Kluyveromyces lactis: one gene and its partner. The protein of the gene in region 1 interacts with the protein of each later gene in a pairwise test. Links are inferred from orthologs where the notes say so. Each region holds a gene or a part of one and is shown in the gene's direction. Other genes may lie near its edges.

Evidence for each region.
Region 2: the proteins of BUD27 (region 1) and RPB5 interact in a two-hybrid assay, tested with the Saccharomyces cerevisiae proteins (2 studies listed by BioGRID, with this or other methods). The link is inferred for Kluyveromyces lactis from reciprocal best matches to the Saccharomyces cerevisiae genes BUD27 and RPB5.

The regions. Positions count from the first base shown.
Region 1 is NC_006042.1:2,339,945-2,344,714, forward strand, and holds BUD27 (prefoldin-like protein), read left to right. Parts: upstream 1-1,441; coding exon 1,442-3,670; downstream 3,671-4,770. Other genes in the region: EPL1 (Epl1p), read right to left, coding at 1-687. UniProt on the Saccharomyces cerevisiae protein: Involved in gene expression controlled by TOR kinase and nutrient signaling. May also be involved in positioning the proximal bud pole signal.
Region 2 is NC_006042.1:1,967,836-1,970,851, forward strand, and holds RPB5 (DNA-directed RNA polymerase core subunit RPB5), read left to right. Parts: upstream 1-1,742; coding exon 1,743-2,390; downstream 2,391-3,016. Other genes in the region: DUF1 (Duf1p), read left to right, coding at 1-1,201; RIB7 (2,5-diamino-6-(ribosylamino)-4(3H)-pyrimidinone 5'-phosphate reductase), read right to left, coding at 2,652-3,016. UniProt on the Saccharomyces cerevisiae protein: DNA-dependent RNA polymerases catalyze the transcription of DNA into RNA using the four ribonucleoside triphosphates as substrates.

The DNA.
Region 1 (4,770 bases):
CCTTTTACCTAGAGGTCTTTTATTGTCAAACATTGTCAAGAATGGTTCATCTTCAGGCATCCCAATTTCCTTCGCGAGTTCCTTTTTTACGCCAGAATCACCAACATCGTTTTTCAACATGGTTGGTTTTAGGTCTGCAAATGAAAGTATACTCTCGGGATCCATGGACAGGAAGGGTTGCCTATCTTTGATGGAAGACTCAAAGTTGGCCATAATTAATTCAAACTCATCTTCCGTTAGAGGTTCGACCGAATCCGCCAGGGATTTATTTAAATCTGCCAAAAAGATTTCGTCTTCTTCATCCATATTATACAAAGTACCACAGCAATCTTCTAATTGTGCAGAAAACTGGATATAACTCGTAGGACATTTGAATTCACCTTGGTAAAATCTGTCAAACTCGTCCCAAGTTTTCGAGGCGTCTGGTGTTGGAATAAATAGATCCTTCTTGTTCTCTCGAAGCTGATTGGATTGAAGAATTTTGTATAAATGCTCTTCCTTTTCTTCATTCTTCTCCACACCAGTTTCAATCTCCATCAGCTCTCGCTGTTGATGCTGGGAACTGATGGCCGAAACATCTTCTTGTTCCAAATCCTTAATTTCATGGCTCTTATAGATCCGAAGTCGTTGCTTCACGCTGATCTTTCTGTGCCTGAACCTCGATGAATCCACTGCAGGAGCTGGCATACTGCAATGTGTCAATGCCCGTGTGTAGTTACCCTGATAGCTATGCGGCTGAAGCCAAAGAAGGATCTTTGAATTCCAGATTTCAATAGCGAGAAATATGAAAGGAAGGGTAACTACAATTATCCCTCTAAAAAATTGGTTCTTTTACGGGGGCCCAAATTTATTTTCTTCCTGTTTTCGGGGCCAAATTTTGCGAAAAACTTCACTGGCAAGCAATCGGGTGGCGGTGAAGGAGGCAGAAAACAAGGAGACCAAATCTAAAATAGGACTGAAGATAGCAGCTATTGGTACGGATTTTGCAGAACTGATGAAAGTCCTTAAGTATCACTACTGATGGTTGATTCTCAGTAGGTTTGAACGAGCCACCGGACTGTTCTGAAGCGCGTGGTTTTCCTTTTTATGTTGGTTGTTTGGGTGGAACGCAACAGTTTGTCCGGTGAATGGGGGTATTGGTTTTTTCTATATTGAAATCCGAACTTATGGAAAGAAAAAAAAATTTTTTACGTCTTCTACGGAAATATGAACGTCTCCCATAACCACCTTGGTAGACAATAGGAATTTCTGTTCACGTGACTTCCATTGGGTCAAGGTAAATGGTGATGCCAAAAATTGTATGAGCTTCTACCAAAAAGAAAAAAAAACGGAAATCAGTAACTTGACATCCGTAATGAAGTCATCTCATCGCTTGTTGAAAGAGTGAGTTATCTGAGGCAGGTAAAGAGGCTGAGAAAATCAGTCTTAGTCGTGAAACGCAATGGAAACAGCAGAAGGTGGGGCTTCTTTTGCCGAGTTAATGGATACTGTCAAAGGTACCATAGATAATTTGGTAAACAAAAGAACCTTCTTAAAGGAACAGCAGCCGTTGTATGAACAGATATTCGATAGGATAAGAGATGCTGACACGAGCGAAGATTCGGAAGAAGAATGGCAGTATGGTGAGGTAGTATTTCAGAATGGTAAGTTTTTCCAAAATATAGGTTACGATTACTATTTGGAGAAATCTAGGGAAGAATGCCTGGTTTTTATAAAGGTTCGATTGAACTTAATTGCCGAAGCCATTTCACAATTTGATGAGAAACTGAAAGAGGCACATGGCACATTGCGAAACATGGAGTTACTTCGAGACGGTGCAAAATCTTTGGGAGATACGAATGTTTCTAACAATGATGATGACCAGGAAGGTTTCTTTGAGATCAGAGAAGAATTAGACGAAGACGGAAATGTGATACATGCTTCAATGACGCCCGCCAATAAGGTGCATTCGGGCAAAGGTAATGAAGTCCATAGTGATGAACAACAATTGTCACTGAGTCAGGAACGTCAAAATTGTCTTTCACCAGAGACTGCCTTCAATATTCAGAATGATGATCGCTCTTCCGCTTCAGGAACTTCGGAAACTGGCAATAAGACAGGAGAAATCATGGAAGCAGACAAGAGTACCATGCAAATAGCAAAGGAAAACATGTACACATTCGATGATTTGGTAGATCAGTTAGATAAATTGGATAATTATGAAGATGGCGAAATCGACGTAAATGACGTAGAATACGATTTTGATGGGTATGATGAAGAAAGCGACGATAATGAGGAAGATGAAGATTATTCCGTCTCCATAGTTCCTGAAAGAGTTCAGCATTCCTTTATGGAACAAATACAGGCTTTGAGGGCCAACAAAAAACATGATCTCGTACATACAGAATATCGTAATCATTCCCCTGAGCAAGAAGCTAAGTCCATACTTAAGAAAGGCGGTTCGAAGAAGAAAAGTGTCAACTTTGCGCCAAAGCTAGACGTCTTTGAAGTGGAAAATGTGAAACAGGAAACCAAATCTAACACATTTAATTTCCCTAGAAACAGCTATATGGAGTCAGAAATCATCGCATCTGACGGAGAAGATGTTGAATTTGACCCCGATTTGTTCGCGCAGATGATCGGAGCCAAGGAAGCCGACGTATTGCATGAAAAGTACCAACCTGGTAGCATCAACGGCTTGAAGGAATCTGAAGAGCCAGCACTCGCCGCACCTCGAAAGAAGCGTATCTCAAGGTTTAAAAAGGAAAAAGCCGCCACGGAAAAACGCGAGTTTAATACTAATGATGTTGAAATGTTTGAAAAGGAACCAATTGTAGAGGCTGTGGTAACCGACATAGTTGAGCGTGACGACACATCATCGATTTCAGTTGAAAATACTCCGATTAAAACTGGTTCGCCAAACTTTATTCATAAGAAGATGAAGTCCTTACAAAAACCAAAATCGCTGCCAACTAAGACACCATCAATAATTCCCACTGAAGAAATGAACAAAGATGACAGCGGTGCTGAGGGCGAACAAAACAACTCGTCAATTGCGGAAGTCATGAAGGAGAAGCAAGAACTAGTTGAGCCTCATTTCCCTGCGCAAAAGTCTAATGAAATTCATGTCCAGCCAAGAATCGACTTTGCACAATTGGACAACCTTGATGACATGGCAAGAGCATATCTCCTAGGATTATACGATGACGATGTAGAAGATCCTGGCACAGTATTGCAAGACACTTCTGACTTTGAGGCTTATAACAAGATGGTAGAAACTTTGAAGCCTGAATTAAATCAGTTCTTGAAGGAGAATGCAAGCTATGAATATGACATTGAACTGCCACAAAGTGCAGAATCATCACAGAATAACGAGAGCACTATTATTAACGAAATTAAAGAAAGGGATCCAACGGGCGCTGGAGAACAGCCAGTACAAGACGTTGAGGATCAAATCATATACGCAGAAGTTGAGCGAGAATATATGGAACATCGTCGTCGAAATATTGAAAGATTCGCGGTCGCATCCACCTCATCATCCTCAAACACCGAGCACACCATGGAACTTGAGTTAAATGAAGAGTTAGGTAAAGAACCGATTGATGAATTTGGTAACCCGGTCACGACCAGCCGCTTCAAAGCACAAACGCTTGCTTTGAAGAAACATCATCTATCTCAACAGCATCCATAATATCTGGTATGTAGATATTTCTGTAAAAACTTTGCACGTGATATGAGTTGATAGTTCTGGATTACTTTTAGAGAAGTTTACCACAATTGGTGCCTCTCAATGAAAAGGTGCTCGGACCTTCTTAACACATTTTTTGGGCGGAAAGAAGTTCCATTTTGAACATTTTTACACAGTTACATTGAAATAGCCAAAAAAAAAAAAAAAACGTGACACTCAGCAGCCCGTTCCTGATTCTTGGTTATCTACATTTTCTTCTGTAACTGAGGAATAAAAACCTTGTCTCGAACTACAGAAAATAACGCAGCGTGTTTAAGACAGGTCTGAAGTTTATTTTATACAGAAAATCGAAAAACTCCACAATCAGTCACATCACGTGATTATTCCTGTATATCAAAAACTGAACAGCTTTACAAAACGAAATCACTGTCATTGGTTCGTTTCCTAGCGGACAGTTGCTTGCTCCCTCTGGTACGCATACTAACAGTTTGATATCAGAGAGCTGTATTGGTATATCAACTCAAGTGTCAACTACATCAATCAGGTAATGATGTAACTGTGTCAGTTAAATCCCATCAGCCGCATGACATGAAAAAGCCATTTAGCGGTAGGTAAGCCATATCCTATGGACTGAATAGAAACCTCCCGTCATTACCAACCCGCTTGGAAAAGATTTGTAAAATGATTCCTACTCGTCTCATTTCAGGTGATTTCTCTTTCCCAAGTTGCGTATTTCCTGGTGTCTCAGAATGACTCTCTTTTTTTTTTTTTTTTTTTTGGTCAATAGGATAGTTGTACTTCGATTTCAATGTTTATTTTTCATTCTTTCGTGCATGAAACTTCCTTCCGATGAAGTTCCCCATTCAATACGCCCTGCGCCGTCACGCTCCAAAATGTGTGATTTGTAATGTGCACTTGACTGTATACTCTGCAATCGTTTGCCTCGACTTGTGTCCTGCACTAGTTTCTCTATTCTATTCCACTCAGATTATCAGAAAAACCCAAAATTAAACAGAAACAAGAAGGAAAGAAGTATCATATCAATTTTCTGTGTAATGTAAAAATGTGTCTTCCTCTGGGGTTTTGGAACCTTTGAGACATTA
Region 2 (3,016 bases), about 370 kb from region 1:
TGATCAACATAAAGACAACAAAAGTATCAAGGAGAAAAGACGATTATCTATATTTACCAAGTTCACTCAATCAAATAACACTACCCCGCAAAGTTCGGCCCCCAACACCCCCAATGGTATACCTGACGTCCCACATACATATCACGGCATAATCGAAGAAAGCGAAGATGAGATGGGAATGATGTTACCTGGCCCAGCAACTGCTCTACCTACTTCATCGAAACCGGCGAACCTCACTTTGACAAGGTCTGTTACTGAACAAAGTATCGAGAGATCTGCTACACCTTCAAGCACATTTGGTTTCCATAACAGATCATCGAGGGTAAAACTAGAAACTAACAGCATCGATGACCTTCATAGTATCTCTTCTACTGGGAATGGTGAAGTGAACTTCAAATTCAATTCAAAGAGTTTTTCCAAAGATCTGTCTGAACGAAAGCCAGGACTTTTCTTGAACGAATATATCGAAGAAGTTTATCACGCTTATTTGAAACAGGCTCCAAACTCCTCATCAACGTTCATGAAGTTTGGGAGGCGGATCCCCGAGACTTTGTTCATCAGAGACTCAACTAGACCCGTGATACAAATCAAGAGTGGATGCATTCTCACGGTCAACCATTGGAAAGAGGGGTCCACAGGGGAAACTATTGCATTTTCCACATATCTCCCACCCCCTACATATACGGCAAACGACTTGATCGATAACTACCATACTTATGAATCATTAGAAAGACATCTCCCGATATGGCTTGGAAAGATTCTTTTCAAAGAGGATAAAGTCATTAAGACGTACCCAAAAATCACATTCATCATCCAGCCTTGGAAGGACGAGGCTCATTTATCGGAGGAAACGCAACAATCGCCAGAGGCTGAAAGACTAGTAGTAGAACATAAAAGATCAGGGTTCCACAAAAAATCTAAACCACCTGAATCACCCTTAATGCTACCGAAGATTAACGATAGCAATGTTAGATTAACAGCTGCAAATATGATAAAGGCAAAAAAGATCAAGACTTACATAGTGGATAGATTCGAATCAAAGACACCTGAGATGAAAAACAAAGAAGATCCAAGCGAATGGTTAGAAATCTTGTGCAAAGGAACAGTACTAGAAAACGATATCACCCTGAGTGCTATACGCACTTTATACTGGAAATCAAACACAGACATTGTTCTTGAATATAGACGTAAACCGACTTAAAATTAAGAGAGACTGTGAGACTAAGTTCTCACCCAGGCTTATCAATATATATATATATAACTAAATATAGACATATATACAAACATAGAACTACACCTGCCGCCCTTGACTCAGAGCATTCCATACCAACACAAGACAGGCACGTGACTGAAATCATGAAGGACGAGTTTGATGGTTTGGCTCTGTTTCCTTCTTTCATCGCATTGAAATTTCGAAGGTTTGTTGAAGTTTTTCTTTTTCTTTTCAGCCAAAATTTTCCAAAATTTAGAAAGCGATGAGAAACAAATCCATTAATTTGTTGATTGAAATTTAAGAAAAGATTGAAGTTAGGTAGCCGAATAGTCCTTGTACCGGTTGAAATTAAGGGGTAAGATTAGTTTGCATATCGATAATTGAGTTCTTAGTACTTGTTTGTGCATATCGATAATTGAGTTCTTAGTACTTGTTTGTGCATTTTAGAATTTAATACGAACTAATCTTCAAGCGGAAAAAGTTAGTTTCATAAGATATCAAAGGCAAGTGACGCACAATTTTTGTAACAATGGATCAAGAGCAGGAGAGAAACATTTCCAGGCTATGGAGAGCTTTTAAAACGGTGAAGGAAATGGTTAGGGACCGTGGATATTTCATTACCCAGGAGGAAATAGATTTGAGTTTAGAAGATTTTAAGGCTAAATACTGTGATTCTATGGGCAAGCCACAACGTAAGATGATGTCTTTCCAGTCCAATCCAACCGAAGAATCAATAGAAAAATTTCCTGAGATGGGTTCATTATGGGTGGAATTCTGTGATGAAGCATCTGTTGGTGTGAAGACGATGAAGAATTTTGTGGTTCATATTACGGAAAAGAACTTCCAAACTGGTATATTCATCTATCAAAGTGGTATTACTCCAAGTGCAAACAAGATTTTACCAACTGCAGCACCAGCAGTCATCGAGACTTTCCCAGAAGCATCTTTGGTTGTCAATATTACACATCACGAACTAGTCCCAAAGCATATCAGGTTAAGTGAGGCTGAAAAGAAGGAATTATTAAAAAGATATAGATTAAAGGAATCTCAATTGCCTAGAATCCAAAGAATGGACCCAGTAGCATTATACCTTGGTTTGAAAAGAGGCGAGGTTATAAAAATTATTAGAAAGTCTGAAACTTCTGGACGTTACGCAAGTTACAGAATCTGTTTATAAGAGCAATTAAAAAGAGCCATTCCCCAACCCTAAGTAAAGTAAATGCGTGTGTATAATAATAGACCAAATTAGAGCAAGAGAAACTAATAGGGCCTTAAACACACTCTTCGTATGAGAACCCATCAGGGGATATCATAATCTAATTACGATTCTTTTTTCAATTATTTAAGGAAATGATTAATCACGTTTTGAACATAGCATGTCTGAATTAAGAGAGTTCATTGATATAAGAATTCGAATTTTTAGGAAAACAGGTAAAGATCAGGAATGGCTCACAAGACGTGAACATAACACGCTATCCCTTGTTCCCTTCCACCAGGAGATATCTTTCAAATTAATTTCAATAAGAGGAGACACTTCAACACCCTCACTACCCAAGAAGGTGGCACCAACGGTGATGACCAGGGCATCGATAAGGTGTGGTCTCTGTAGCAAATCATTGATAACAATCCCACCACCTTCAACCATGATGGATTTTAATCCGAATTGAGATTTCAATTGGATGAACAAATCGTGCCAGTCCACTTTACCTGTAAAATTAGTTTGCATCACTAAATAGTCAACGTTCTCTTCTACAACTTCTGGAAGCTTTTTCACGACTACAATTGGTGCTTTACCATCACCAG